4 linked regions of the Arabidopsis thaliana genome follow. The protein of the gene in region 1 interacts with the protein of each later gene in a biochemical or structural test. Each region holds a gene or a part of one and is shown on either strand. Other genes may lie near its edges.

Region 1 (8,551 bases):
TGCGGTTTGAGAACTTAACAGTGCTTGGCTCCTAGTCCTTCGGCGATTGTACACCAATGTCTTCTGCTTTGTGTCTGATTGTCTGATGAGTTCTTTAGGTCCCATTGGACTCTCTGGCTCTTGTTGCTTTCTCCTTTTGCTCAGTAGTTCCCAAAGTAGTTTCTCTTCGTGTTCTCGGCTTCCCTCTGTGCCTATACGCTACATGGACAAAAGGATGAAACAAAAACCCTTTTAGCGCTTACTTAATCATTTGAGCTTTCACAAACAAAACTCATTATCGAAATTTTACCTTGCCGGTAATAGAATGTTCAGCTTGTTTCTTCTGACTCGCGGGTAGAAGAAATTTGGCAGATGTTGTCATCCTCTGAACTTGATCTTCAGCTTTTTTCAGCTTTGATAAAGCGTTGATCTTTGTCTCTTCTGCAAGTCTAATCCTTTCTCTAGCATCTTGTAGCTCTCTCCTTGTATCTGAGTTTGATCTCTCCATCTCATTCACTACATTCATCAGTTGCACACAAGGGCCATGCTTTATTTCAGCAGCCAAGTTGCCTACGTACTTGGTCATCGGGTGACACATATTCTTTGCTAAAGCCTGCATAAAATCATTGACTCCAGTATCTACTGAACCAAGCACCTCGTTGATGTTATTAAATAGTACGCGAAGGAGCTTCACTGTGACAGGGAAAGTGTCATGGTTTTGGCTGTGAACCGAGCTTAGGTAATAAAGAGACTTCTGGATGAATTCTTGGAAGAAGGTTCTACGATCGTCAACCATCTGCAGAATATCTTCCCGATGTGAATTCACCTGTGTTTCAATGTGCTTAAGCATATGAACTAACTGTCTCAGCTGCCCCTTATGCTTGTGCAAGATCTCTTTCCCCGCTGTTTCGGCTTTAGCAGCATAGTTTTCTTCCTACAAAATCATGATACTTCAAATGAACTTCTGAGGAAGAAATCCACTCAAAGTAGGCAGAATTATATATTTAACTGCAAGCTCCAAACCCACATGAAGGTACAAATGGTTTTCCAAACAGCTTTGTGATGCAATTGATTAAAATTTGAAACAGAAAGTGTAGAGAAGACAGCATCTAAACTATATTCCCTATTGGTTCTCATTAATCTATAGCAGAACTAGCCAAACATTAATAACGAATCACCAGAATGAAACTTGACTAGGCACATCACAGTTTCATGATCATATTTATTAGTCTGCATTCACTCTATACCAGAATTAGGTATACATGTATAAGGAATCACCAAACTAAAACTTGACTAGACGCTTTACAGTTTCAGGATCACATTGTTTGGTTTCACATTCAATATCTAGTAAAATTAGTCATACTAAATAGGCAATCACCAAAGTGAAGCTTGACAAGACCCGTTACAATTTCAGAATCATATTGCTTTTTTCGCATCACATCTATAGTAGAACAAGGGATACACATATACAGAATCATCAGAATGACACTTGCCTAGACACATAACAGTTTCAGAATCATATCAATTGGTTCACGTTCAGTCTTCATTATAACTAGGCATACATATGTTATAAGAATCATGATGTATACTACTATACTACCTTTGAACTGCGAATTTGAATGTTCAGATCACCAGACCGTGCAGTATCCATATGATGATACCTTTCCTGATGAAAATTAGAGTAATGATCTGAAAATTTGCAATTTCATGATTCTACAAGAAGATGATTGATATCACTCACAGTATTGAAAATAAAGGCGGAGTGTCTCCCTTCACTCTCCATCTCCGACGTTTTCAGCCCAACCAACTTCATCAAAGGGATCGCCAGAGAATCGAAAACTTCACCTGCCTTTAAATTATCAAATTCTCTATCAAATTCGTTGCAACACCCACAATTGTTCAAATTAAGCTTGAAACTACCAATTTAAAGAGTACGCAACACTCGGAATCGTTCAAATCAAGCTCGAATCTACCAAACCAGATAATAGGATTACCTCTCTCAAATTCGTTTGAATCAAGCTTAGATCTACTTAGAAATCGAATCTAACAAACTAGAGAAGAGCATTTATCTTTACTTCGACAAGGCCGAACGCGATCTGCGATTGGAGTTGATGGTACGCCATTTTCACTTTCTTGGTGCGATCGACCAGTGTCGCGAGCTTATCTCGGAGATCTGGCGCCGATACTGCTGCAGCACTTTCCTCCGCCGTGTATTGCGCCGGAGAGGCCTGGAATCTCCGTGGATAAAACGCTCTTGGCGGGAACTCCATTGTAGGAGGAAATCAGTTATCACACAAGTCCGAAGAGAAATGGATTCGAATTTCAAACAGTCGTTTCTCAAATTCTCTTTTGTTTTCTTCGTTTGCAATTTCTGACACACAAGTTTATATATCCACGGCCCATCTATTTGTCTCAAACCAGGCCCATATATTTGTCTCAAACTGGCCCATTATTGATTAATTATACTGATGACACCTTCACAGTTCTTTCTCGATGTATGAATGGTTATTTTCAGTGCTCTTAACTCAAATGTATCTTAGTACTTTTGAGTTTGACCAAATTGGTTTTAAAATCCGTTAACGCATTAAGAAAACTGCGTGTATAACAAATTAGCCATAACAAATTAAAGGTTTTGACAAAAAAAGAAAAATAAATTAGCCAAGAAGACTAAATTAAAGACTAATAGTTAATTAGGATAACGACTAAACAAACCACAACTACCCAAACCAAACTAGAAACGCAAGTCGTCGCCGCCGCATCCACCACGTCCAGACGTCGACGATCCGGTACAGCTAATACCGCCAACTAAAGCCGCAGCCGCAGCAACCGCATTGTTCCGCTCCAAATGGCAAAGCTGACGCAGCTTTGTTGGAACATACCAAATAGAGAGACGAGGATGAGCGTTAAAGACGGCGTCTATATCCCAGCCATGACGACAAGCGATGTTCACAAGTGGCTTGTAACAAGCCTGACGCCATGAGCCAACGTTCTCACCGCGTTCTTTAAACGCTCTTCTGAGAGCATTTGAAGCTTCTTCGTCTAGGCAGTGGAGAGCGTAACAGTGAACGTAGTGTCGCATTTTAGGCTTGTTTATGTAACTCGCTCCTGATTTCTTCGCGTACCTGAATACTTGGTTCGTCACCTATTTACACATTTTCCCCAACATCAATATAATCAAACAAATCATTTATCATGAGATATATAGTAGGAAAAATGAAACCTAATAAGTTTGGTTTTAATTCGGTAAACAATGATTAAAAAAAAATGCCTACCAAAATTATAACCGTAGTTGTTAGATATTTTTTATAACCCTTGTTAGACTTGACACTTAACTAAACCCAAAAAATTAGATAACAAAAAGGTTTTTGATAAAAACAACACAATAATCAAAATATTGGAACCAATAACAAATTTAGAAAGAAAACAAATAAATTAGATTTTCTTAGTAACGTGCGTCTGTACAAGCAATGGCACAGAGCTCATGGATTCTGTACTATCATCACTAGAGGAAAGAGGACCCTCTATTATCCGCCGAGCAATAGACTGTAACTAGATATAATAATATATACATACAACAAATATCCCTATTAATTGTCAAAAAGTCTAATAATATCTATGTGTACTATGTGTGAATGCATGCAAAAATTTGTATATCGTATCTAACTATCTCATGTCGTTATAGCCAAAAACAAAGAAACAACTATGTCCTTTCCCTAACTCGACACGTTGTCGTACGTTTACTGTCAAAATTGAAATTGAAATCTAACTATATTTATGCTGAAGACAGTATGAAAACAAAATGAAAAATTTAATAAATTAGAACCTAAATTTTGTTGCGAGACATAGCAAAAAAAAATAAAAAATTGAAAACCCTGAGAAATCGTGATTTGTCAAACTTGCTTTTAGAACAGCTGTCCATGATTATAGCTATAGTTCCCCTACCATACCCCATAACTTCCGACACCATTTTTTAAACTTTTGTTTGAAACATAAATTTCAAGATAATGAACGGTCAGGATTAGTTCTTAGAAGATAAATCAAAAGATACCTTGGTGGGGCATTTTTCGCCACGGTCTTTAGCAATTGTCTGGACCTGAAGAAGGAACTCACGGCATTGTTCGTACAAGTGGAACAGATAATCTAAGCCGTTCTTTTTGCCACGTGCCACTTCCCCAGGCTCCGTTACGATAAACGGATGCTCCCTCTGTCTCTCTGTCCCCAAACCACTACCTCCGTTGCCGTTATCCATCCCGTCGTCATCCTCACCTTCGTTGACGTCTTCGTCGGTTTCCACTGACGTCAGCATTGGTTTCTTTCTCCGTCTCTGCTGCTGTTGCTTCTTCATCTTTCCTTGACCTGCGTCCCAGTAACCACTTCCTCCTCCGCCGTTATTCCCCGCCGCATCAGTCTGGTCTTGTTGCTGCACCGGTTCCTCAGATAACCCTGTCCAATCATCTACATATAAATTGTCACAATCACAAAAAATTATTCAAGTTTAGGCGTATATACTCTTTGAATTCCTGTACATGACATTAATCCTCGTACTTCTTGCACTAGGTCTATTTAATAAATATCAGACTATGACTGCATACTCTATACACACAGTAGCTCTAAATCAATATCATACAAGTAAATATATCCAACATATAAATTAAATATGACATATATTATCTTGTATTATGTAACAAAAGCTTAACCAATATATTTAACCAAAAAAAAAGCTTAAACATAAAATTATGTAGCAACTACTATACATATGGTAAGATTCATAAATTAGTTATCTATATTAGTCACGTGAACATATACATACTTTTTCTTGAAAGTCGGGCATAGAAATGTTGAGAACAATATATACACATATTTATAAAACGTGCGATATTTGATATTTCTATATGTATTCATAATTATTGTACCTTCTTGGGAGAGAGCATCAAGAGCGTGATGAGTACCGGAATCACCAGCGGCGGAGAGTAGCAAATGACGGCGTCTAGAAGATTCCTCTTCCTCCTCTTCTTGCAATCGTCTCCGTTCAGCTCTAACGGCAGCTTTGATACCGTACCGTTCACCAACAAGAAGCTCCCAACGAAAGATATGAGAGAGACTATTCATCATCTCTTCAAGCTCCTCGTCCTTCATACCCACAAGCGTGCTCGCCGTAAAACCTAACTCCGCTATCTTCGCCGCCGTGTAGAAACGTATACCGTACGGACCGAATAGTCCCTCTAAACCACCAAGTCGCATCCCAAAAGCAGCCGTCTGCGGTGTCACCGGCTGTTGCTGCAGCGGAGGTGGAACCGGAGGTGGTGCTTGAACCAATGCTCTCGTTGGGTTCCACCGGAATAAGCCACTCGTGAAACCTTCAGGATCCATAATCTATTTTTCTCTCTCTCTCTATCACTCTCTTTTTCTCTCTTTCTTTACTCTTTTGAGCAGATTGCTTTATTGTAAAAATGACCACTCGAGCAACTTCTATATATACAACAGTAAAGAATCTAGAAAATAAATACTAGGTTTTTGTATATTCTTTTTTTATATCGCTATTTTTGCAATAAAGCATTTATGTGTAGATGTAATGTGATGTAAAAGAAGATATGTGTCTTGCTGGGAAATTGACAGTTGGGACTTAACAAGTCAAACTTTTTCTTTCATCGACATTCTTTTTCTCTACTCTGATTATGACCATTCATAATTTGACACGTAGGAATATAAAATGATTAGGGTTTTCACTGTGGTGATTCTCTTCTTTATGCATATTAATATTTACTGTGATGATCCTATCTTTTTGATGTTTTGTTCAAGTATTAATATTTACTGTGATGATCCTCTGTTTTTGATGTTTTGTTCAAGCTGTGTTATTTGTTTTAATTTCATCCTCGGGGGTTTTTTTTTTTTGGGGGGTCTCATTGTTTGTACCATGAGAGCACGATCAAACGGAACCATTCCACCATTTGGTTAGATTTCTTGAACATTTAACCATCTAAAAGTATAAAAAAAAAAATCTACAAATACATTTATGACAAAAATATTTGTTACGATAGATTGATTATTGATAGATTGCTGATATCGTTTAACTATCTTAAGATACATGGCCAACCTACGTCTTTTTCAATTTTAATATCCTTTCCAATCTTCTTATAAGTTCTAGGTACGAATGGAAAGTTGGCAATACTGGCTATATTAAGCTATGATAATCTGTAAGTCATATATGATATATAGAAATACGTAAAAATTTGTATTATGTAAACTTTAACTGTATTGGCATGGACGCATGGTACCATGCACAATCTTTGCAGAAGCCCGATAAGTTACTAAAATTATATTCCCCTATGATTCATATAACTTAAGGGAATCCATTATCCATAATTCCATATATGTCTATCTAAATAAGCTTTGGAAGTATTGTTAGGGGAAGATAAATTTTGTATGATAAGAAATATCAGCACTCTGAGTCTGAGATTGTTAATCTACTATATATAGCCACAAGTTGTTCTTTTGCTTTAAATAAACATAAGCTAATAAATGAAACCTTTATCTATCTGCGTTTTAGGAAACATTAATTGATAAATGCAGTGTGAAAACTCCAGAAGGAGAGGAGGTCAGGTGTGTTTCGGTCTAATCTCTTCAACTATCTCTTACGTGTTGTCATCTCCCTGATTTGTAATTACCCCTATTGCCCTAGTACACATATATTTTTTTTAGTCGTTAAGAAAATCAGAAAACCGAATCAATTTGATAAGTTACATTTCTATATATATTCACCCATCTAAAAATTTTTTTTTTGGTAATGTCAAATTTATTAAATAACAGAAAGAACTTACAAATTAAAGTGGGGAAAAAAGCAATGGTTATTTTGTTATTTTTATATGTTGGAACTAAAAATACAAATTAAAGTGTGGGATTGGACATATGGGTTACGTAAACTTTGTGACTAAACAGTGAAAAAAAAGAATGATGTGAAAATATATAAAAAATTATAACATTGGAATTGAGCCGATAAAAAACTTTAATGTTGGAAAGGTAGCCAATGAGGAAACGACAGGTCAAATCGAAGTTCTGAGAGACTGGCATTCTTAATGCTCTCAGTCTGTTTTATTTTGACTGTCTCACTCCCTCAGTTTCCTCTTACCTTTTCTTTGTCCTTTCTCTCATTTAGTTTATTATTAATCTTTAACATTACAAGTTTACAACATATAAATTCATTACTATTATATATCATCATCTTCATCATTGCGAGTAGCGGCTCGTACTCTTGATACTGTTTTCACCACTGTTATTTAACTGTTGGAGTTTTAGAATCTTGAAAAGACTGAATAATCTGTTCTAAAGCCTCCTATTACTACCCTATTTTCTCAGTATCATTTTCACATTAAAGAAAAACAACTCAAAAGTGACTTAATTCAGCTATTTATTACTGTTTCAAAATTCAATATACCGGATAAACAAGACCGAACTACACTTTGCAGTTACAAAAGTTTACAACTAGGTTCACAAGAACGGAATCACACTTTAACCCAAAAAGAAAACACTTTTGCCCATTAAATAATGGGCTGCGTTTATATCTTCTCGGTCAGCCCATTACATTGTTATTTTTTAAAGTGGAAAAGAGGCTGACGTGGAATGTTCAAGTCCCCAACGACTTTCCTTTGCGAAAAATGGATCCCTTTCAAACGACGTCGTATAGGCCATAGACGAATCTTCTTCAACTTTCTTCTTGCTTTCTTCGCATCTTCAAATGAAAATCGCTGGGCTCTCGCTGTCAACGCTGGGCGTGAGTGAGATCTAACAATCGGTAGCGAATTTTGTAAATTTTGTTCCGGTTTTGAAGTCTCAATCTCGGGGTTCCGGTTTTAGCAACTACTTCTTCTGACATTTCAGCTGTTCTAGTTGATCTTTATATACTTTATATGATCTGGGATTTTGAAGAGTTTTTAGGGAGGAACCAAAATTTCTGAGAGAGAAAAATGAAGTTATCGAGCTGCGTTTTGATCTTCCTTCTATGTAACACATTCTCCTCGATTTCTGCTTTCCGTCTGAGTCGGAGTCAACCAACTGAGCGAATTTCAGGTGAGTTCTATCTATCAGTCTATGCAGAGAAGGTTAATCTATGGATTTTGTGAATTCTCAGGTTTCATAATTTTACTTGGATGATGCAGCTTAGTTCTAGGGATTTGCCGTAGTTATCTTGTGTAGTCATCAGCTAGTTTGCTAGTCGAATGAAGACTAGGGGTTTCGTTTTCACTTGTTGAACCTGGGGAAAATGTAAATCAAGATGCATCTGATTTGTAAATTGTATATGACAATATTCATGCCTGAATAAGCCGATTCTATATCTTGTTTTTGAACTTTTTACTTTGATGAGCATTATCTTTCAGGTTCTGTGATTGAGCTACATAGTTAATCCTTGCTTATGATGTGAACTTTAAGTGTGTATCTGTTTTTTTCTTCTCTGATGTTTAGGTAGTGCTGGTGATGTGTTGGAAGATGATCCCGTGGGAAGACTGAAAGTCTTTGTTTATGAGCTTCCAAGTAAATACAACAAGAAGATACTTCAGAAGGATCCGAGATGTCTAAA
Region 2 (7,781 bases), on another chromosome or scaffold:
AAATTATTTGTGAAAAACATTAAAAGCTAACGAAATGTGAGATTTACAATACATGAAAAAATGTTGAACTAATAACACAAAACTTACAGACTAAAAGGACATGATGCTAAATCAGTTTTATTTTTACATCTTTAAATTAACACTTATGTCTAAAACATATTTCAAAATAAAAACAGTTTTAATAGTAAAAAACTTTGAGTTAAAAATGAAAACAATTTACTAATAATATTACTTGTGAAAAACCTTAAGTGTTAAATTTTGAATATGTGAAAACGTGTTAAATTTAATGAAATCACAATACTTACAAACAAAAAAAGACGGAATGCTAAATCCGGTTCTTTTACGTAACTAAATTAGTTTACACAAAATTTAAAAATTTAATACATATCCAAAATTTAAAAATTAAATAGTAATTTAAAAAATATTAGTTTTAAAATAATTAATAAAAGAAAAACAAGTGTTAAAAAGGAAATAATTTATCAAATATATTAAACCTAAAACACCGCTTAGGGGTTTGGATGTTGTATCCAATTAGTTTACACAAAATTTAAAAATTTAACATTTATTCAGAAAAAGAAAACCATAAAGTTTTAATAGTAATATAAAAAATGTAAGTTTAACAACATTTTTTAAAAACAACTAGTGTTAAAAATCTAAATAATGTGTAAACCATAATGAACCTAGAACACCATTTAGGGGTTTGAATGTTGTATCCAATTAGTTTACATAAAATTTAAAAATTTAACACTTATCCAAAAAAACAAAATCTTAATTTTAATAGTAATATAAAAAATATTGTTTAAGAAAAAAAAACAAGTGTTAAAAATCTAAATAATGTGTAAACCATATTGAACCTAAGGGGTTTGGATATTGTATCCAATTAGTTTACACAAAGTTTAAAAATTTAACACTTATTCAAACTAAAAACCTTAAAGTTTTTATAGTAATATAAAAAATATATCTTTAAAAACTTTTTTTTTTACTAAAAGAACTAGTGTGTATAGTAAAAAAAACTTTGAATTAAAATATAAAAAGTGAATATTTAAAAATGAAAATTAAGATGGGATAGAAATTGACCTGACTAATAATCTGATGGACTATCATGGGCTGAATTTCCTTTTCTTATTGTTGGGCTTCGTATGGTTTTGAAGATTGCAATCCAACCGTTAGTTTCTCCGCCACCGTGACTGAAAACAAATCCTATAATCCCCGATCAAAATTCACCGCCTCTATCGCCATCTCCGTCGTCAGTTGCCGTTTATACTGCAAATTCCTCTCAAAATCTCCGGTAGATTTATCAAGACGTGATGCTTCTGAAATGTCTGACCAGACTTGATCTTCTTAATTCGTCGCGTACTAACGGCTATGTGAACAGAGCCGAATCAGAAATCACCACTGAGCGTTGGCGTTAATATCTGGAATGATTCTAAACGAAGAAGAATATGTATCATCTTCCATCACGACGCTCTTCTCTTTTCTGGTCTGGTTAATAAAAGAATATGTTCTCTAATGTGTTAGCCGTTAGGGATTCAAGTTTCCTTTTTTACTTTCTGTTTTTCCTTTTTTCAAAAACTCTTATGTTGTTAATTTCCTTTTTTCACTTCTCGGTTTATTTGGCAATTACTAAACCATCAAAAATTAATTTAATTTAGTTACTTAACGGTCACGTAACCTCTGTTCACTAAAAAATCAGAAGACCCAAAAAGAAGCAAAATTTGAATATTTTCTCTTAGATATTAGGCTTTCATAAGATAAGAATTAAGAAACCATATATTGAGACATGACCAACATGAGTCTGTGTGTAGCTCTTCTCTTCCAATAAGCTCATATCATCATCGCTTATCGGAAAATTAAGCAGAAGTTGAAGAGCAGAGTCTGTTTAATTTTAGTTACGTAATCGTCACGTAGTCTCCTCCATTCGCCATTAATTAGAATTCTAGTTTCCCTATCTAAAGGATTTGACTGTGGTTCTAACTTTGTTTCTTTGTAGTAGAGTGTTAGGGTTTGATCATGTTCTTTTTATAAGGCGTACAAAACATAAGTCTATAAATGTTTTTATAACCTAGCTTCTCATTCAATTCTCACAAAATGTTAGGATTCATTCGAAGTTTTTGTTCTTGATCTACAATTTTCTCAAGCATTCTTATAGCGAAAGAAACGTCTGCTAAATACAGAGCCATTGGAATTGTTCCAAAGGCAACTTGTGGATGTTTCTAGTCTTCAATATGCAAATTTCTTTATTCTCATGTAATGTTGATTGTATATTGATTCTGTGTGTGAAAACATGAGAATGAATGGTTAATTGTTTAATGTTCTGCAATTTTCTCAAACATGATCAAATCATAAAAGAAAGGGTTGATTAAGTACTTCAACTAACTAATGCTGATTTACATAGATACTATATCCCTACTTATCATCACTAAAAACCAAAAGGAAGCAAAGTTTGAATCTTTTTCTTAGATATTAGGCTCTCATAAGACTAGAATTTGGAAACCATGGAAACAAGACCAATAGGAGGAGCCTGTGAGTAGCTGTCAATGTTCTCTTCCAAGAAGCTCATATCATCATCGCTTATAGGGAAATCAAGCAGAAGTTGAAGAGCAGAGTCTGTTGAATCATCTTCAAGATCATTTGAATATGGAGAATAATCTGAGCCATGAATCGCCACAGTAACCTCTTTCCCTCCCCAAGAATTTGTTGAGCTCTTCAGAAGTGCAGATGAGGTCGATGTTGCCCTCGAGCAAGGGCTTTGACTAGTAATAGTTGATTCATCTAATGGAGCGAGATTCCTGAAAGCTTCACCAATCTCGGAATTCCAAATGCGTAAGAAGTGATCACATTCAGTTTTTACTACACCAGAGTAAAAAGAAGGGCTAAAGAGCATTGATTCTCTAGAAAGCCTTGCCTCAGCTTCAACCCTAGCACTTTCCCATTGAGCCATGTGGCGAGTTGTTGGTGAAGATGGAGCTTGTTTAGCTAACCCATATGAAGGTAATGGCTCATGAGTTCTGGGATCAAGACCCATAGATAAAAGACGTTTCTTCAAATGAGTGTTCCATAAGTTCTTGATCTCGTTGTCTGTTCTTCCTGGAAGCTGTGCTGCAATAGCAGCCCACCTGAGGAAACAAAAAAAAGCAGAATTCAGACAATGAAGAAGAAGATAGCTAGAGTAGAGAAGGAAGGTGGAGAAGCAAAGTAAAAGACCTGTTGCCGAGAATGGCATGAAGCTGGATAACAAGTTTCTCTTCATCAGCAGTGAAAGGACCTCTCTTTATGTCTGGTCTCAGATAGTTTGTCCATCTCAGCCTGCAACTCTTCCCACAGCGAAGTAAACCTGTTTCACCATGACCGACAAGAAAGTTATAAAGATTAAAGCTTTTCTCTATGTAATCTCTGAAGAACCCCAGTTAATGGAATTTTCTCCAAAGGGAACAAAACCTTAATAAATGAGATAACTTTCCTTCTCCAACAAGTCAAAGAACCATAGTTATGGAGTTTCTAGTAAAAATGTTGATGTAAAGATGAAAACTTTCCCCGAAATCTCCTCAAGAATCTAACAAAAACGAAAGAGGAAGAAGAATATGAAGTTTACCAGCAAGTTTAGGAAGTGTTCTCCAGCTTCCATGTCCATTTTTCTTGATATGCGCAACAAGAACCTCATCTTCTTCAGGCGTCCAAGGACCTTTCTTCAAACCAATCTTGTCACAACAAGGTGTTCTTCCCATTTGTTCCTCACCCCACTAACAAGCAGCGAAAGACTCTTTTTGAATTTCTTTCGGTTTTGAAGAAGAAGAAACACAGAAAGACAAAACTATTGAACAGCTAGTAGACTTTTAGACTCATAATAGGAGAGACAGAGAAAGCACAAAGTGAAAATAAAGAGAAGAAGATAGGAATCAAAGAGAGAATTTTAGAAAAAAGGGAAAAATGATAAATGTATTTGGTCTGGTCTGGTTTTAACGTCGTCTAGATGAAATAAAAAGCCAAAGGAAGCAATGAATTTACGATCTATATATGATGATTCTTTACATTTTTATACTTATATTTGATGGATGGGAAACAAAGTAAAAAAAGTTTGAAATAAATACGATTGTGTGTTGCTATAGAGACACGAAAAAAGGACGATCAGCGAGCTTCGAGCCGGCCCTGACCATTTATTACACGCAAAATTCGTACAACATTTATTAGATTTGTATTTAATGTTCATGACAGCAACTACAGGTCTCCTTCAGAAACAAAAAATCATGATTGCAAATATTTTTCGATTTTTTTTCTTCTCTTTTCGTGAAATGCAAATCTAAAAGAATCCTATCTACTATTGAAATGGTAAAGGTTTTTGAGCTTTCGAAAACTTTTTTGTTTTTGTGAATTGGGAACATATTTTATCAAATTTGAAGATTGATATGAGTCATATGACCAAAATTTTGATGTCGAAAACAGCTAAGGCAAAGTAGTAAATAAGTGGGCTAGGATTCTCAGGGATTCAAATTGCAAGAAACAGGAAACAAAAGAGCATTGATGGCGGATAATACGAGACATCCTCCTTCTTTAGCCGGGAAATAATAAAGAGAGACCAACATTTATTGTTATTTATCTTAGAATTGTTTTTGAACAAGTTAATAAAGAAAGGAGCAGAAGTGGAAGTAATGGAGATGACAGTGACTTGTTGTTGTAGTAGGAGCCGAAGGACATGAAATGTGATGTGACAAACATGTTTTAATGAAATTATAAACTAAAAAAACGAATAAATTGTTCATAAATGAACCATGGCTATTTATGCATATATTTTCTTTTCTAATCTGTGAGTTATTTTTGTCGAAGTTTCTGTGCTGAGCTATTTACTTCAATTTCACTATTACTTGTTTTCTTATAAAAAAGATTACAGAGTCACGAAACAATCCAATAAAATGTAGACACGTATTATGGGTAGGCTTAGGGATCACAAAGAGTCAAAGAAACAGAAGAAGATACTGTTGTGTAAAGACCTTGCAGACACTCAGTGGGGTCCATTTATATATATATGTCGTAAATGTAGTCAGCTACAAGTCAAAGCCGTAGTTTTCATATTAATAATTTTCCGTTTTCCTTTTTTTTTTGAATGTTTGTTGTTTCATAGATATGCTTCTTTTTCTGCTACATATGTTTCATATATTTTTATTTCATGAAAGAATTAAATTCATCATATCTATTCATCAACTAGGGAGAGATCTCCACAGGATTCAGATTTACATGATTTATGTTTAATAACCCAAATAAATAAATAAACACGTGAAAACTATAATTTCTCAATGGATATAACACTATAAAACAAGATTGGTTACGGTTCAAACATTTTGACGAAAATAGCTTAATACCAAACTAGAATAATAAGCATGTGGAAGAAAATATTTTGGAAAAATCAAAATAATTCCGTGGAAGCAAAAATTAAGAAGTGCAACTTTCATGATAAATAGATCCTAAATAGGATAAAGCCCATAATTCCAAACAGAGCCCAACACGAAAATAAAAAAGAGGAGAGTCATACGTTCTATCTTTATTACTAACCAAGTCAAAGGGAGTCTCATAATAAGTGCAGCGTAAAGAGGTTTCCATAGAACCAGATAACAAGTGTCTTTAAGAGAGATTAGGAACCAAACCACTGAGTAACGAGTCTTTACATGAACCGCCAAGTACTAGTTGCCTCATCTCCTCCCCTCGAGCTTGAGAAACACCTGAAATATTGGGCACACTGGTCTTAAACATGCAATATAGCTTTTTGATTTTAAATGTTGTTTTGACAAGTTAAGCCTAAGAGAGAGGATTCGTCTTACTCTTACCATTTTAACCATCTTGTACCTCTCATTGGGTGGAGACACGTTTCATGCACAGTTACAAGTTTACTGACAGTAGATTGCTTGATCGATATTAGAAGGAATTGGTTTGATTTCGGTCCCAAGTTCTTGCTCAGTCTGATACCTGTTTTCAAAACATGATAAATGACTAAGAAAACTTTAACAGAATAGAAAAACCGGTTAGAACATTGAAAAGAAGGAACGACATACATTTTGAAACGGTCCTCATAAGTTACCAAATTCACAGCCAATCCAAGGTGTCCAAACCGTCCTGATCGACCCACCTGAACATTTCGCAACATGAGTTAAAATGAACATGTAAGAAACTAGATCACAAACCAGTTTTGTTTCGACTAACCCTGTGTAGATATGACTCAGAAGTCCTAGGAAAATCAAAGTTGATCACGACATTCACAGCTTGAATGTCAATTCCTCGAGTAAACAGATCTGCAGTCATTTTCCAATAAGCCAGATCATCATCATCATAATCTACACTTGGTCAATGTTCAAAGTACATGCTAAAAAACACAAAGCTTACCAGTGCAAACGAGATTCCTGCAAGCACCATTGCGGAACTCGTGGAATACTCTGTTCCTGTGGTCTTGAACCATCTTTGCATGAATGTAGAAGCATGAATAACCAAGTTCTGTGATTTTCTTAGCCAACAGCTCCACGCGATTGACAGAGTTGCAAAAGATTATCGATTGATTTATTTGCAGCTGGGATTGAAAAACCATAACCACTTTAGAACATCTAAATCAAGCCCCTCATAATTCTGTAGTTACAGGGATAAATCTAGACATCTGACCTTAGAGAAAAGTGTGTTGAGGCAGTGAACCTTCTGTCTTTCTTCGACAAAAGCATAATATTGCGTGACACCCATAAGCGTGAGTTGATCCATGAGATTGATAACATAGGGCTTCCGGAGATGTCGATCCTTAAAAGCCTTAACAGTGACAGGGAATGTGGCGGAAAACATCAAAAACTGACGATTTTGGGGTAGAAACTGTATCAATTCCTCTAGAGAAGGTTGGAATTCTGCAGACAAAAGCTTGTCGGCCTGGAGAAATCATTTTTAAGGAGTCAGAAACTTTGAAGCTTATGACACAATAAAACAAAATAAACTCAGGTGAATATAACAACACACAAGAAAGATCTTCAAAATTCACCAAAGTAAGGGGTAAATGACTGTTAACAGTAGTAAGTATAACTATGCATATGTATAGAGGATGATAAAGTCAAATTTTGAGTCTTTGACAGAGAAAACTAAAGAATAAATTAAGAAAAATTCCTTCTAGCAGTAATCCTACAGTTTGTTCATCATCAATTTTTAGCAATAAAGACATGAGGAACATACACTGCAGGAGCCATACCACAAAACGAAGATATACTTAAGATCTAGATATTAGGAAAGCAATCAGGAGCTCACCTCATCCATTACAAGCATCGCACAGTCTTTCAAAACACAGACACCCTTTTTTGTAAGATCCAATATTCTTCCAGGAGTTCCAACCAGCAGATGCACAGGTTGATGTAATCGCATAATATCATCTCTCAGACTGGTACCGCCAGTGGTGACCATAACCTGGATATTCAAATATTTGGAAAGCTCCTTGCAAACTTGTGATGTCTGAAGGGCCAGCTCTCGCGTTGGAACTAGAATCATGGCTGCATATAAAAAATAGAACAAGTGGTTCAAGGACAAACACAAACAGTCAACTGATCACTTATCAACTCAACAGGGAAAAAGAAGTATACCTTGAATAACATTGTTATTTGGGTCAATTTTCTCGAGGACTGGAATGCAGAAGGCACCAGTCTTTCCTGTACCGTTTTTAGCTCTAGCAAGAATATCACTACCAGTTAAAGCAATTGGAATGCTCTCTTCTTGAATTGGAGATGGCTTCTCAAAACCCTTCTCATATATTCCCTTTAACAGATCTCTTTTCA
Region 3 (7,479 bases), on another chromosome or scaffold:
TGCCCCACTTCTACAATTGAACAACACCTCCCCCAAAAAAAAACTATCGCTCATCTCCACGGTTTTAATTTTTTTCTGCAACTATGATATCCAATTTTCCTCGACCATACATAATTATAATCTTTGCTGATATACCAAAATTTTAGAATTTTTTTATTAAATACAGTTTACAGCGATGAAGACATTAATTTTGGCATTTGTATTTTGCGGGAGAATACAAACAACAAGGTCAGTCATCTACTTCACATGCATTCAAATTTATATTCTTTTATGTTAGACAATGTTATAAGCCTTTGTTTCTTAATTCGTAATATGGTGTTATTTTCCAAATCTATAATTTGGCTTATTAGTTTGCAGTTGAACAAGCTAGGGCATGTATAGATGTGTCTTTATAGTTATTAGCGTATACAAAGAACAAATTGGACGATAGATGTGTCTTTCAATAATTTCTTATTTTTTCCTTACAATGTTTTTTTTTGTCTTTCTGTATTTGATGTTTTCTTCATAATAATTGCATTTTCTATCCCTCTCGAAAATTAGTACCTCAATCAAATTGATCTCAAGTCAAGTTCTGGACACAACTACCTTTTATCTTTTTGAATTTAATGTTAAATTATATTCAAAATAAAAATAAACGTTTTTCTTTGAATTTAACTCTATTTGTTTTCTTTTGGAAAGTTGATGAGTGATTGTCGGTAACTATACTAAAAATGGTTTTGCATTTTTCTATAGGTGTGGTATGCCTTGGTACGTGGAGGAAACAAGTTAGACACATAAGCACATATGTACTAGACGCAAATAATGTCACAAAAACGGTTTAAAATATCTGGTTTTCAGTTTGCATGTCGTACTTATAACCGAACGTGTGTAAAGTTCTCATGTCATATACCAGTTCTGTTAAACTAATGAAATATGTTCAGAGGTTTAACCACTATAACTATTAGACCCGATTTCAATTAATCAAGAAATATCCAAACTTTTTAATATATGCATTATGCTTTACAAAATTGTTTGATCTTCTAATGATGTAAAGACATTTACAAAATATAATTATTTAATTGATTCTAACTAATTTGTCCGCGCATAACGCTGGCCGTAAACTAGTTCTTCTTACAAATTACAATATCAATTTCCACTTTGGGCCGGAAATTTATATCCATAACTCTACTACGTACCAATTAACACATGTGTGTAAATAAAACTACATAATGGCATGAATGGAGTTTCGAATCAGTTAATGTGGGCGACAAAATAAAATCAGATTATGTTTTATTATTAAGTTTAGAAAGAGATGCTTCATTAAAAGTTTATGCTTTAATGTTAAATCAGACTATTTATTATGGGTACGACTTGTAAGCGTAATTCAAAGTTAAACAAAACCTAGTTGGGAAATGGGAAGATAGATGATTTGATAAAAACAAGACACTGTTTGGTTTCAGAGACTTCCTTTAGCATCAAAACACAAACAAAAGCGAAGCCTCTTGAGTTACTGCAAATAGAGAATATTATTACCCTTTTGCGACTTGTCAGCTTCAGATATTCTCACTTGTATTATTATTTTCACGGTAAACAATGCCTTAAATAAGAAACCCTGATTGGACTTTTGATCTGACTCTACTCTTCACTCTTTCTTCTTCTTTATTTTCAGTCATGATGTCTCTCTAACCCTAATCTCAAAAAATCCAAACTCCTTTTATTTATTTCTAAACCTTGATTATAGCTAGCAATGATTAATATAAGAATTTTTTTTCTGGATAAAGAATTAATTAGAAATTGAGTTGTAAATGTTTTGTGATGTCTAAAATTCTTTTGTTTGCAAATTAGATGTAAATTGATATATTTGAGATTTGTATGAAAGCTAGTTTTATTTTCCCTAAACAAGAAGTTCATTATCTTGGACTTGGAGGTTTTAGAGTTTGAAAGAGTTTACAATTTATAAGAAAAAATAATCACTATATATATATATATAGTGTATATAATGAATTGTTTCACATTAAATTGCAACAACATCAAATAAGGGTAACATACTAACATATAGTTTGTTTGTTTACTCTTTAAAAAAAGGGGATAAACTAAGAGCTATTTCTGCTATAATTTAGGAACAAACTGGATCACATGACAAAAATGCATCATAATTCATATTAAATTTTGTGTATATCTATTTCTCATGTTTAGAAATAACATTCTTGTGTGTTATACATGTTATCAGTTTTTCTTCCTAGATGGAAGTTTTATTGTTGGAGTCTTTTAAAACCATACTCACTATGTTCCTCTTTATTTGATGTTTTGGATTTTAGATAGAAATTAATAAAAAATATGTTTTCTATTTTTATAAAATTATTTTTTTGTTAGTTTAGTAATTTTATTTTTCTTTTTTTATTATTAGTCACAAGCAAAAATAATAACAATATTTTTATAAAACATTAATTTTGGTCGAACAAGTAAAAATAACTCAAAACATCAAATAATTAGAAACTAAAAAAGTAGATATTGTCAAATTTTGTGTTGAGTTCGAATAAGATAATGTGGTCTCCTCCAACAAAATTATTTAGAATAAATGCACTTCTATGACATTAGAGAACCAACTAATTTATTTAGAATAAAACACACATATATATTAACATATAAAGTAATTCTAATTGGCTTGATATAATATATAAGTAAAAAAATGATCTTAATAATCTCTAGTTTTCTTGGGTTGATCTCCACGAGTACAATTTGACTGACCATTATAGAAGTTGAGAAGCGTGCATGTAATAAAAGTTGTATATTACAAATTAGAGAGGAAAAAGAAAGAAAGAAAAAAGATTTGAAGATGTGATCAAGTGTGAAAAGTATTGGAGTAGTCTCCAAATTAATAATTTCGATGCTGGGCATTGACAAGATAACTCTGAAGCTCTCAACTTTAAGACCATCACTTCCTCTGCCACCATTTTCACGTTTACCCAAACACACACATATACAAACAAAATTTTGTTAGTCAATAATTATCACCAAACTGGGGTTATAACAAGGCTTTTGGATACTTGTGCTTGTTGATGTTCTAGGTTCGTATGATAACAAAGTACATCCGTTATATATATTCGAAACACACTTTAATATTAAAAATATATATCCAATTTTCTTGTGAAATTTAGATTATTTGGAATTAAACCTATTTCTCTTGTCTTGGCCACTTGACCGGTTTAGTTTTTTAGACGTATTTTATTATTTCTGTTTAGAAAATAACAACATATATCAACTGATTTTTTACTTCCAATCTCTTTTTGTCAGCACACAAATAGAAAAACGTCTGTAAGCTAAGCTATCAACTAAAACATTAACATATATAATCTTTTACGTTGATAGAAAATAAACATAAATTTCTGAGTTATTTTTTTTTTGGTTGGTGTGTCACTACTTACTTACTACTATACCTTTTTAACAATAAAGAAACACTATTTCTTTTTCTATTCAATATAATATATGTTTTCTATTTGTATAAATCCATTACCTTTGTTTGTTTTATACCAAATGTTCTTTATATATAAGTATATGCCACCTTACTCTATTGAAGTCAAGAACATATCAAAAACCCATGCAAGAAGCTCACAGAGAAAGACCAAACACTTTTGTCTCTTTCTTCAAAACTTTTACATATGATCTTTGCCTCTTTTCCTACAATGGGTTTTGCATAACTTTCACCAAAACCCTCCTCAAAAGCCCTTCACATATTCCCAACACAAGAAAATAAACTCTAAATCCACTTTCACCAAATCTTTTCATTTTTCAGCTAAAATGGATTCAACTGTGTTCATCAATAACCCATCTTTAACCTTACCTTTCTCTTACACATTTACCAGTAGCAGCAACAGTAGCACAACAACGAGCACCACCACAGACTCAAGCTCCGGTCAATGGATGGACGGTCGGATTTGGAGCAAGCTACCACCTCCTCTTCTTGACCGCGTCATTGCTTTTCTTCCACCTCCGGCGTTTTTCCGGACACGTTGCGTCTGCAAGAGATTCTACAGTCTACTTTTCTCCAACACCTTCCTCGAGACATATCTACAACTACTTCCTCTCCGACACAACTGTTTCCTCTTCTTCAAACACAAAACCCTAAAGAGTTACATTTACAAGAGAGGAGGAACAAACGATGATGATTCCAATAAAGCTGAAGGCTTTTTGTTTGATCCTAATGAGATCCGATGGTACCGTCTCTCTTTTGCTTATATCCCTTCAGGGTTTTATCCTTCAGGATCATCAGGAGGGTTAGTGAGTTGGGTCTCCGAAGAAGCTGGTCTTAAAACCATTCTCTTGTGTAACCCTCTTGTCGGATCCGTGAGTCAGTTGCCACCAATATCAAGGCCAAGGCTTTTCCCTTCGATAGGTCTCTCGGTAACACCAACCTCTATTGATGTTACTGTCGCTGGAGATGATCTCATATCTCCTTACGCTGTGAAAAACCTCTCATCGGAGAGTTTCCATGTCGACGCCGGCGGATTCTTTTCCCTCTGGGCGATGACTTCTTCTTTGCCACGGCTTTGTAGCTTGGAATCTGGTAAGATGGTTTACGTGCAAGGCAAGTTTTACTGTATGAACTATAGCCCTTTTAGCGTTTTGTCCTATGAAGTTACTGGAAACCGGTGGATCAAGATTCAAGCTCCGATGAGGAGATTTCTCAGATCTCCAAGCTTGTTAGAGAGCAAAGGGAGGCTTATTCTTGTAGCAGCTGTTGAGAAAAGCAAGTTGAACGTTCCCAAAAGCCTACGACTTTGGAGTTTGCAACAAGATAACGCCACATGGGTCGAGATCGAACGGATGCCTCAGCCGCTCTACACACAGTTTGCAGCAGAAGAAGGTGGAAAAGGATTCGAGTGTGTCGGAAATCAAGAGTTTGTAATGATTGTGTTAAGAGGAACCTCGTTGCAGTTGCTGTTTGATATAGTGAGAAAAAGCTGGCTGTGGGTCCCACCGTGTCCTTACTCCGGCAGTGGTGGCGGTAGCTCAGGTGGCGGTTCAGACGGAGAGGTCTTGCAGGGTTTTGCTTATGACCCGGTGCTTACTACACCGGTGGTTAGTCTTCTTGATCAGTTAACACTTCCATTTCCTGGAGTCTGTTAGTTTTTAGACTTTAAGATAAAGAGACTACTTGTGGTTTCCACTTCTGACGTTAAGACTGCTTGTTGTTTTCTCAAAATTCTGTTTCTTTTATCTTATTACTGTCTGTATGTAGTAAGTTTATATTTCTAATGTCAAATGTCTAATCTTTGACAACATGTCAACAACATATACAGACAGATTTCTAATTGCGTACAATCCAATCCTAAATCCATCAAACTCAAAAACATAACCCTTGGGAGAATGGTTTCACTTGAGCTTAACCTGGAGAATGAGATGAACTTTGCGGTTCATTATTCTCCTGAGTTCTTCATTGGCCTCAATTCCTATCCTCCTGCAAAATTAGCATCAACATAAGATCATCCTTGAGTCATTGATTAGTCAAAAGAATGAATTATGAACGATCTTGTATGCTCTTACCCGATCTTGCAACCGCCCTTGCCTACAAGAATCTTGCGTTGGCTAAGTTTAGGAGTGATGAGATGCTGTTCAATTCTAAGAGACCCGTCACGCAGCTCTTTCCAGTCCACTAGACGGTGCTCCAGACCATATGGTATTTCCTACAATTTGTTTCAATCAATCCTGTAATTTGTCATCTTGGAATAGACGGAAACTGATACAAAATGTTATACTAGTAGAGGTTGTATTATTACCTGATGGACATGGTCTAGTAATCTCTCCCTAACAACTTCAAGAGAAATGTTCTTCAAGACTTCTTCACTCATCGTGAATGCATCTTCTTCCCATGGTTTTTTAACAGCCTGATCCATTAAGTATTGGGAAAGATCTTTCACTCCTGATCCCTTAAGTCCCGATATCATGAAGTATCTAGAAAACCAAACAGGGAAAAAGCACATTTCAATCAATTCGAAGACTTCCCCGGTAATTGTTTTTAAACTGAGTCTGGTATATATATATCCACCTTTCATATGCCGGAAGATCTTGGAACTCCTCAGCAACCTTTAATAGATCCTTTTTCTTCTCAACCAGATCAACTTTGTTCATACATAAAACGCGCTTTTGTTTCGGATTTTCTTCTTCTCCCATGTATTTGATCAAGCGTACCACTCTTGAATCGGGACTAGATAAATCAAAGAGAAAACAGAATTCACAAACTACAAAATAAGTCTAAGAGAACTCTATTTCTACTTGTAATTAATGAAAAACCACAGTCATGATGCCTTCTTCAAAAGAAAGAAATAGATGTGTCTTCCCATCGGTTTACGGTTCTCAAGCTTATGGATAATCTCGGAGAGATGAACAAGATATGAAAGATATCGAAACAGAGAAGCTAGAAATAATAATCCCACCCTAAGATACCCCACTTGATGATGATGCTCATAACCATACTACTCTCAGTTCCGAGATAACTTATGTAAAGCTAACAAAGTACAAAAACTAGTAAACGACTAACCTCATGAGATGCCTATGGACATCAAACATAACAATGAGGACATCAAACAGGTCAACAGAAGTCCAAGCATTTTGCACACGAGCCTTGATGTCTTTGTAACCATATCCGCTTTTCTTCAGCATCAGACCCGGAGTATCGAAGAAACACTGCAAGGTTCACAAATATCAAAAATTCAATCTACGAATGGCTGATCTCCACAACTAACCATAACGAGTAGTTTACATATGCAACAGATATATAAGAGAAAACTTACGACTTGTGTATCTCCTTTTGTCAATACTCCTAACACTTCATGTGTCGTCGTGTTAGTCTTCCGTGAAGCAGCAGCAACCTTTGTTCCAACCTACACTTGGACATAACGAAACACTAAGCATAACTCTCATCAAGATGCAATAAACAAAGATACACAATCACTTCAAAAATTGCAACTTTAGGACTAATCAAGAGTCATAGCAGCACTACATAAACATATACACAATGTCTCAATTGATTCTCAGAGACCAAATCACAGGAATGTGAAATTAAGGAAATGAGCCAACCATGAAATTAGTCAGCGAAGATTTTCCTGCATTAGGTGGACCGATGATGCCGACATTAAGCGACTTCTGATCTTCTTCTCTAACTTCACCTTCACCAAGTTCTTCATCTGGTGACTCTAACGCAGCCTCTAAGAGAGCCTTAGCGAGAATCCTTGACCTATCAACACTATCCTCATCATCTTCAGAACTCTCTTCTTCTGCAACTTTCACTTTACCTTTCTCTGTCAAGTTTCCAAAGAAGGCTTTGTTTACTCTTTCTCTGTACCCTTTATCCCAAGTTGCTTCCTTGGGCTTCTTCACGGAATCTACATTGGAATCGTCGATTGGGTATTGACTACTATCGAAAACAGAGTCGCTGCTTGATCCGTCTTCATTGATGGAAGTGGGTTCGTCTAGATTCGGCTGCGCTGAGTAAAATCGGCG
Region 4 (8,517 bases), on another chromosome or scaffold:
TAAGCTCGTCCTCCTTTTGATGGCTGGAGAGTTTTTCAACAACTGCCTCCATATAAATCACTTTTACTTCCCTTGTCTGCCCTATACGATGGGCTCTGGCAACTGCTTGTTCCTCATTCTTGGGATTTGGATCAGGATCATATATAACAACTGTGTCAGCAGTCTGAAGGTTGAGACCCCGTCCAGCTGCACGTATACTAAGCAAGAAGATAAAGCAATCCGTATCAGGATCATTGAAGTCCACAATAGCTGATTCCCGATCTTCTAGGCTGGTAGTCCCATCAATTCTTCTGTATACAAGCCTTCTCCATTGTAGATACTCTTCCAAGATATCAAGAAGTTTAGTCATTGTACTGAAGAGCAATACACGATGGCCTGTCCTCTGTAGCTTTATAAGGATCCTGTCCAGAATCCACAATTTTCCACATGACCTTACGAGGAAATCTTTGGAAAAGTCATTGAAATATGGATAATTGAGCAAAGGATGATTGCAGGCTTTCCTCAACTCCATGCACCTATTATTTAAAGTTCTATATATCTTGGCTTGGTATATCGGATTCTTTTGAGCCCTAAGTTTTTCATCGTCTGGATCAACTCTAAGAGTTCCAGTCGCTTTAATCCAATCATAAACGGCACTCTGAATAGCAGACATTCTACATCGTAAGACTACAGAAACCTGCAACCCAAAAGCATAATCAGAGGAAATATCTAGACGGAAAATAACAGCAAAAATATAAGATAGATCCTACCTTAGCAGGAAGTGACCCTTCCACATCCTCAACACGGCGTCTGAGCATGAATGGCTCTAAAATTTGATGAAGTCTGTGAATGACTATGACCTTTTTTTCAGTCTCCAGCCAGTCATCTTCTATATTATGCGCAGGACCTTCTTTTTGAAAGGGTTGCGCAAACCAATCATGAAATGCTTTTCGATTGTCAAAGACATCAGGAAGGAGAAGGTTCAATAGTGACCAAAGCTCTTTCAGATCGTTCTGCAAGATTTAATAAAAGCAGGATAAGAATAGTCAAATAATGTAAACAGCTTATACAATCTTGGTTTCCATTTGTTATATGTCCTGATTTATGCCCAAGTAGCTATACAGCTATTACCAACCTGCAAAGGTGTTCCAGTGAGAAGTAATCTCCTCTGGCAGCGATACCGGTCAAGATCTCGGGCCAAAACAGATTCTCTGTCCTTCATCCGTTGTGCTTCATCAATTATAATATATTTCCAGTCAACTTTTGAGAGTTTTGATCGATCATACATAATGAACTCATAAGTCGTAACGAGGACATTGAACTTCATGGCGCAAACCTCCTGTTAAAGAGAACAGGGGATGTATCAATTAACGTCTTCAAAACATCTGGAGCAAAAGAAACTTTTTCAAATTTTACCTGAGAGAACAATTTTGAACGTTGATCCTTTGTACCAACATAATATATGCATGAAACAGATGGCAGCCAAGTATGGAGTTCACTCTGCAGAAGAAAACCCATTGGACTTTAATCAGGTACCAGAGAGAAGTCAACGAAAGATAGCAAAAAAACTTATACGTATTCTAAAGAACACAGAAGAGTTCATCAACAGGATATGGCCATGTCAGCGCAACTAACAGCTAGTTAGCTAGAGTCAAAGTTAAGCTTAGATAATGGATATAAGAGGCTTGTGGGTTCTCGCGGAACTGAGTGAGATAATTATGAGTTGGGAGACTTGGGGTCTCAAATACTCCCTTGGTTCTAAGCATTGATTCTGTGGAAAATCATAAGAGAGTCTATCAGAAACACAAACCTTCCAATTCACCAGAACAGCATTGGGAACGATGATGAGATGCGGTCCATAATTCCCTTTAAACTCCATAAGGTAAGCAATCAGTGCCATTACCTGTACAAAACAATTAGTATATTATGATAGGACAATATAATAATTTATTGGTCACCAAAGGCGAAAGAAAAGTAAATCCAGGAATCCCTGCAAATCGGGAACAGATTTAACCTGAACAGTTTTTCCAAGACCCATCTCATCAGCCAAGATCCCGTTTAATTTGTTATTATACAACGATAGCATCCATTGTAATCCAACCTGATTGGCACAGAGCAAAAAACCTTAGAAACCATCAAAACGTGGCATGACAGTGAGAAAAAAGCAACAACATAGAGTATAGATGGAGGAGATACCAGCTGGTAATCACGCAAAGTTCCAGCCTGAAGCATTGAAGGTTGTCTTACAACCACTTCATTTACAGCATGAGCCAGAGTATAGTACCTAGAGTTGGACATAACAGAGTTAGACATCACCCACGGCGCCTATTCCTAATCTTGTGATCTGTAGAATTCTCTCACATATGGATGTGCAGGATTATCAGCATTTTACAGATAAGCACATACTTTTTAAGTATTCAGCTGCATTGGTAATTATGAGTTACAACTAGTACTTTGCTAATTCCCTATTTTAATCATTTTTTGTGTGACTAATGCCCTTACTTGTTGACAGATGAATTTTCTTTTGGCGCATTCATTTCCGTAAATCTATTTCTGATCACAACTTCTTCTCGAGCACAAGTAGCTGCTGCCCTGACCTCTTCTTCTGACAACCCCTGCGTCAAAAACGGAAACAGGTAAGGTACTATATATCCACTATACCTTTGAAAAGAAAAAGTTCTATTTTCTGAAACACGCAAAAGTCAACATTTAAGTTAAAGTTTGAAGAATTATCTACAGAGTGTAATGGATATTCGCTGTGGAGTAGAGAAAGCAGTATGTATACCTGCAATCTCGCTGCTACTGCTGCAGCATTTGCTGCCTCCTCCACTTCCTGTTGATTTTTTGTGGCAGTAATCTTACCTCCAAGTTTATGAAGATAATCTTCGGTTTGGGTCAAAAATGAAGAGAGAACAGCATATCTTTCAGCAGCATCACCAGGCATATTAGTTTGCTGTTCCAGCAACATCTCCCTGTATCTTTCTACATCATTATTCTTCAAGGCCTCCATCCTTTTGTTGCGGCCATCATCTTTTCTCTTTGAAAACTCTCTCAACATCTTTTCATGGTATTTGGCCACTCCCCTGTTACGAGCAGTGCGTGCATCACGTATAGCCCAATGAGCCTCAAGGAGTTTCTTACGCCACTGAAAAATGGTTTTCAGCTGCTTCTCTCTGACAGCTTTCTGATTGGCCAGTACTTGTCTATTCATTTCTAGGCGTTGCCGTTCGCATAACCTCACAAATTTGCGGTACGGCCTATCCGGCATGGACATTATCTCCTGTTGTTGTCGATCTACTTCCTCTCTAACACGAGACTGAAGATCAGATAGCCTAAGCTTTTTCTCTTCAATTTGAAGCCGTAAAACAAGATCAGGCCTAATCCTTTTCCTTTCTAAATTTTTTGCTAGCAGACCATTTATCTTCTTCAAACTGTCTGTTCTTTTCTTACTAAGGAACTCTGCACCTTCTTCACAAATCAGATCTTTAATATCATATGCTAATGTGAGATTGTTATTGGCATTGGCTGTTGCAGACCCATAAGAGTCAAGTTTTCGAGTGAAAAAGGGAAAATCAAACAACGGTCCATAATATTTCCTGGCAGAGGCTGTATCCTTGGGCGGCTGGGGAGAGTTTGCTTGTGGAGGAACCTTAGATTGGCTTCCATCAGATGCAACAGCCTTTCCCTTATCAGCTGTAGAATCACTTCTAGGATTCTTTTGAGTACTAGAATCTGCTCCTTGGTCTGACTTAACAGGGAATACATCAGTCTGTTGCTCCTCTTTCGTAGCCACGTCAGTAGAAGTAGCTTCTTTTCCCAGGTTTTGAAATAATTGGCTGTGGCCTGTCGTCAAAGCTACTTCTGTATCTCCAACATTATCTTCCTCTTTAGAAAAAATTGGTCCATTTGAAGAAGCAGCAGCCTGAGACTCCTTGCCACACTCTAGCGACCTTGCTTGGTCTTCTCCAGTTTTGTCTGAAGATCTATCCTGAACTTTCCCTATGGCAGGAGATATTTGCCTCTGCGTCTGTAGTTCAAGCGGTGGTGGAGAAATAGCTTGAAGAAGCTCCGGAGGCAAAGAACCTTCCCCTTTCTGTCAAAAAAAAGCAATTAAAAACATTCAACCTGGCTTGCAGACACGTTATTTATAGGCATACATCTCCAGCAAAACATACAATAAAAATGAAGACATAAGGAAAAAGTCAGAGCTGAAAACCTTCAAACGCCTAAATGCCAGTATCTGGGCTTTGAGAACATGGAGTTGCTGTTTGGTAAATCCTGATCGCTGCTGTGCTTGTTGGGTCCCCTGTCCACTCTGAAGGGACGAGTTACTGAGTGGACCAGTATCAGATGGCGCTACTAAATTTGGAGTCGGTGTATTCAGTTGCCTAGGCTGCTGCATTTGCAAATGTTCAGCAGGACCTAAACTTTTTTTTGTAGATGCATTCTGATCCAAAACAGGAGTCTCATTTGCAGAAGTCTGCAGGGGATTTCCTGAGGGCATCCCATTTGTAGGCTGAACTAAATGTCGAGGATACATTGGATTCTCTCTCCCTTGGCCGGAGAAGGGATTCATAGCAGGATTGACCATTCTGGGACTGGAAGTCGAGGCAAATGAGCCAGTAGATAATGCATGTCTGGCCTTCGCTGATCCTGACTGCCCAGAGATATCACTAGCAGAGTTGGCATGTGGTGAATTCTCACCTGGAACAACCGAAGATGAAGCCGGCTGGCTAGAGATTGGAATAGATGGTGACTGTGAGGCCACATTGCCTTCACCAGCTTTCTGTTGAGCAGCCATTCTTGCCTGAAGGATGTGTGCCATTTGGCTGGCGTTGGCAGGATGTGAGAGATCGATATTACGCTCACGCGCCCATGCCTGCATTGCCTGCCACTGTTGTGCAAATGCGAGTTGGTTGTTTCCCATGTTATTGACAAGCTGCTGAGCCTGTGGTGCTTGCATTGGCCTTATCATATTTCCAGGCATTAGTTGTCCGGTACCCACCTGCTGCTGAGGATGAGATTTTGTTTCGTTCCTTTGCTGAGAACTTGATTCAGTCTGCCTTTCACCGCGAGCAAACTGATCGCCCGATGGCTTCGATGATGAGGCCTGGGGCTGACTAGACGGATTCAAGTCTTGCATATTCAACATTCCCATTCGTGCATCTTGATCCTTTCCCACACTTGATGAACCCACCATTCCCATCCTAGCTTGCTGCTGTGCTTTTTGATGCTGAGCCTGCATAGCAAACTGAATATACGCTTGCTGCATTGGATTAAAATTTTGCTGGCCCTCTTGGGTAGAAGAACCCTGTTGTTGTTGTTGTTGTTGTTGCTGAGGAGACTCAAAAAAATTTCTAGACTGCTGAGGCATTTGCATAGAGCCCGGAGACGAAGCAAAGTTGCCACCGCCCATCATTCCCTGAACCCCACCAGGTTGATATGCAAACATATTTTCGTTTGTATCTGAGTTTCTGTGCTGCTGCTGCTGCTGCCATATCAGAAGCACGATAATAATTAGTAACAATCAAATGAACAATAATCCACAATTCAGAGCAACTATATATATATGTGGAAATGAACAAAACATGTTCTCCAAGTGGCTACCATTACACAACTTCAATTTAAAGATATTGGTTACTTTCCTTTTACACAGAATTGATAAACAGTCAAGTCCCACTAAAATTGAATAGCCGCAAGTTTAACAGACAAACATTAGCCACTACAAACAAGCATTTTATCCCTCCTAAGTCATAACGAACCAAACAGAGACTTGAGAATCCTTTACCTGCCTAGACGCCAGCTGCTGTTGCTGTTGCTGCTGTTGCTGTTGCTGTTGCTGCTGCTGCACAGATGAAGAGGAAGAAGAAGGAGAAGCAGCGGATGACGTGGAAGCAGTCCGACCAGCCGGACCCATGGCCGGATTCCGAGCGGGCCCTCCGCCACTGCCTCCAGATTGCATGCAATTGGTCGAAGAATCTGACAGTCACTACACTGGAAACAATTAAACCCAATGCACAACGAAGCTAGTAGAAGAAGACAAAAAAAAAGTGGAAAAACCCTACCCAATAAATCCCTACAAAAGAATTCGGACAGCGAGAGCCCCCGAGGCAAAGGAAAAAACCTCAAATAGCAACAGAGAGAGAGAGAGAGAGAGAGAGAGAGAGACACTGAGTCGGTTGAAGCGCACACACCTTTCTATTTCTCTCTCTTCTTAGATTTGCATCGAATTTGGGGGAAATCGGAAAACGAAAGTCGCGGGGGATGCAACGGTATAAACTCAGATCCTTTGAGATGGCTTCTCGAAAAATAAAAATAAAAAGGGAGGGAAACGAAATCCACGGAATCGATGATCGATTCCTCTCTTTGAGAAATTCACGCAGATCAGAAATTTCTCGCAGTCAAACCCTAGCTGGCTTCTTACTTCCCTTTTTCTTTTTTTTCTCTTTCTTTTTTTTTTTGGAAGGGGCATTAATTTTATTTTATTTTTGATTGTAGGTCCCACGCCTCGATACAGTTGGAACACGGAAAATGCGTTTCACGAGGCCACCCCTCGGTTTTCGCTTTTATTACCACAAGTACCCTTCCTTATACAAGTCAGTTGCACAAATGACGATGAGACACGTGTGAATTTACCAAACGTTCCTTTTGTTAACCAAATGGAATGACTTTTAATTTTTCCATGTTTATTTCAAATATTTGTTTCCGTATTGGGTAATAAGAATACTAAAATGATACTACTATAAACAAATTTGGAAATCAAAAAAAGAAAAAAAAAAACAAATTTGGAAATCAAATTAGACTTATGTTTGTTTTACTTGATTAATTAATTTGAATTTAAAATTAGACAAATTTTGACTTTTAGTTTTACCTTCTGTAGTGCAGTAGTAGATTAGAGAGAATCATACAATTACCCTTGTTTTATTTACGGTGCAACCTCGTGTCGTTTTCATCTTTCAGCCTTGATATGCTTGCCATCTTTACGTCAATAGTTGGCACGCAGTTCTATTTTAAGATAGAAAAACGGCGAACAGTTTTGAACCAGCAGGTTCAGTTTATGTCGTTAATAGTTTTTTTTCCCGAAACAAGTAAAAAGTCACATTATTATGGTTTTGTGACTTGTGTGCGAGTTTGTAGAAGCTTTACTGATATAGAAATGCCGTTGCCGATGCAGTCTCTCTTCCTCTGTTTCTGATTCCTGAATAAATTTGTTAAACGATGGAGAAGATCGTTCGTTCTTCTTCGCTGATTCTACTTGTTGGCCTCCTTCTTTTTATGAATTTTCACGGATTTGTCCGGATCGCCGAAGCAACGAAGCGACGGATCGAGATCTCCGATGACCTAGACGACGTTGAAGACAATGAAGAAGACGAGTCATGGAAAGAGTGGGGGAAGAAAGCAACGACCCCGGAATTTGATCCGCCTCCGGATTTCACCAATATGGGATTCGATCAGATCCAAGAGGAAATGGCTAAACGGACTTTTGGAACCGTCGTCGGTTTCGTCAAGCTCCGGTTAGGCGTCCCCCGTACCAAGGTAAACTAAAATCCAAATCGAATCGTGAATTTGGGGTCCTTAAGTTATAGTTTCAGTTACTGTTCAAAATTCTCTGAATTCGATATGGGTCCAGTTGCTTCAGGGGATTGAATAGTGATCTGTTTATATGTTTCAATCAGGATGTGGTGATTGATATTGCTATGAAATGGACAAAAGTTTTAAGAACAGGAGGGATAGGAGTAAGATTCATGGCTGTAGATCGAAGCACAGTGATGTTCAATATGCAAAATGGGAAGCTTGTGACTGAGGTAAAAGCCACAGAAAACACACAATGCTGAAAACTTTGTTTAGTGGATTAGTCAAAATCTAACATCACAATCATATCTTTCAATTAGCTAAGGGAATTCGTGCTGAGCCAAGAAGAAGCTTACGAGGTCAAGATAGGGAAGCAAGAGTTTAGAAGACCTGGAGATCCTCCATTTGAAGATGTCTTTGACAAATTTCAAGCTGAGCAAAGGAAAGATCACGAAGATGGTGATGGTAACAAGAATGATCTTACTAAGGATGAATTATAGGTCACAGAAAAGCTTCTATAATGGGTAGTACTGAAAGTTCAACTCTTTTACTGAATCTTACCTAAACATGTTTGGTTTTTAGTTTCCGTTGAATGCCGTAGAATACAATAAAGAGGAAAGCTTTGTTTCTTTTCCAATGAGTATATGCACTCATTTAAGCTTATTGCTAAACGTGGAGAGCTCAATAACCTGAATCCTGGGAATGCCTGCTGCTTCAGCTCTCTCTTTCTCAGTGTTGTATCCCCAGGTTCCTGTTTTGAGATAAGTTTTTGTCAGAATAACCAATAAGGGGAACCAGAAGTGATGATATGGGAGAGGGAAGAGACCACCTAGGTATAAACTCCATTTGTCTAATTCAGGCTCTTTTATGACATTTTTCAGCGTTGCGAGTCTGTCTTCCACGAAACTGGCCAAATTAAAAATGCATAGGGATTGTAAACTAATGGTGACCATTACCAAGTCATGC

The links.
Region 2: the proteins of LFY (region 1) and MYB17 form a complex in vitro, tested with the Arabidopsis thaliana proteins (one study listed by BioGRID).
Region 3: the proteins of LFY (region 1) and UFO form a complex in vitro, tested with the Arabidopsis thaliana proteins (one study listed by BioGRID).
Region 4: the proteins of LFY (region 1) and BRM form a complex in vitro, tested with the Arabidopsis thaliana proteins (one study listed by BioGRID).

The regions. Positions count from the first base shown.
Region 1 is NC_003076.8:24,841,093-24,849,643, reverse strand, and holds LFY (floral meristem identity control protein LEAFY (LFY)), read right to left. Parts: upstream 5,397-8,551; 5' UTR 5,350-5,396; coding exon 4,893-5,349; intron 4,435-4,892; coding exon 4,028-4,434; intron 3,122-4,027; coding exon 2,711-3,121; 3' UTR 2,655-2,710; downstream 1-2,654. Other genes in the region: AT5G61865 (uncharacterized protein), read right to left, coding at 1-198, 290-913, 1,580-1,645, 1,721-1,828, 2,055-2,249; GUT1 (Exostosin family protein), read left to right, coding at 7,941-8,043, 8,437-8,551. UniProt on the Arabidopsis thaliana protein: Probable transcription factor that promotes early floral meristem identity in synergy with APETALA1.
Region 2 is NC_003074.8:22,667,250-22,675,030, reverse strand, and holds MYB17 (myb domain protein 17), read right to left. Parts: upstream 4,303-7,781; 5' UTR 3,726-4,302; coding exon 3,593-3,725; intron 3,335-3,592; coding exon 3,205-3,334; intron 3,117-3,204; coding exon 2,480-3,116; 3' UTR 2,280-2,479; downstream 1-2,279. Other genes in the region: AT3G61240 (DEA(D/H)-box RNA helicase family protein), read right to left, coding at 5,877-5,955, 6,042-6,115, 6,190-6,278, 6,370-6,550, 6,640-6,891, 7,261-7,499, 7,590-7,781. UniProt on the Arabidopsis thaliana protein: Transcription factor that may play a role in flower development by repressing ANT. Regulates the transition of meristem identity from vegetative growth to flowering. Acts downstream of LFY and upstream of AP1. Directly activates AP1 to promote floral fate.
Region 3 is NC_003070.9:11,032,403-11,039,881, forward strand, and holds UFO (F-box family protein), read left to right. Parts: upstream 1-3,589; 5' UTR 3,590-3,777; coding exon 3,778-5,106; downstream 5,107-7,479. Other genes in the region: AT1G30960 (GTP-binding family protein), read right to left, coding at 5,353-5,437, 5,524-5,663, 5,757-5,931, 6,026-6,184, 6,518-6,663, 6,771-6,860, 7,057-7,479. UniProt on the Arabidopsis thaliana protein: Component of SCF(ASK-cullin-F-box) E3 ubiquitin ligase complexes, which may mediate the ubiquitination and subsequent proteasomal degradation of target proteins. Considered as a meristem identity factor required for normal growth of the young floral meristem.
Region 4 is NC_003071.7:18,920,728-18,929,244, reverse strand, and holds the start of BRM (transcription regulatory protein SNF2), read right to left. Parts: upstream 6,713-8,517; 5' UTR 6,045-6,712; intron 5,969-6,044; 5' UTR 5,942-5,968; coding exon 5,768-5,941; intron 5,471-5,767; coding exon 4,196-5,470; intron 4,073-4,195; coding exon 2,765-4,072; intron 2,595-2,764; coding exon 2,482-2,594; intron 2,264-2,481; coding exon 2,176-2,263; intron 2,081-2,175; coding exon 1,994-2,080; intron 1,883-1,993; coding exon 1,790-1,882; intron 1,480-1,789; coding exon 1,396-1,479; coding exon of another isoform or gene 1,381-1,395; intron 1,319-1,380; coding exon 1,115-1,318; intron 993-1,114; coding exon 750-992; intron 677-749; coding exon 1-676. Other genes in the region: AT2G46000 (LDL receptor wingless signaling/trafficking chaperone), read left to right, coding at 7,198-7,515, 7,656-7,784, 7,872-8,051; AT2G45990 (ribosomal RNA small subunit methyltransferase G), read right to left, coding at 8,202-8,302, 8,381-8,457. UniProt on the Arabidopsis thaliana protein: ATPase subunit of a multiprotein complex equivalent of the SWI/SNF complex that acts by remodeling the chromatin by catalyzing an ATP-dependent alteration in the structure of nucleosomal DNA.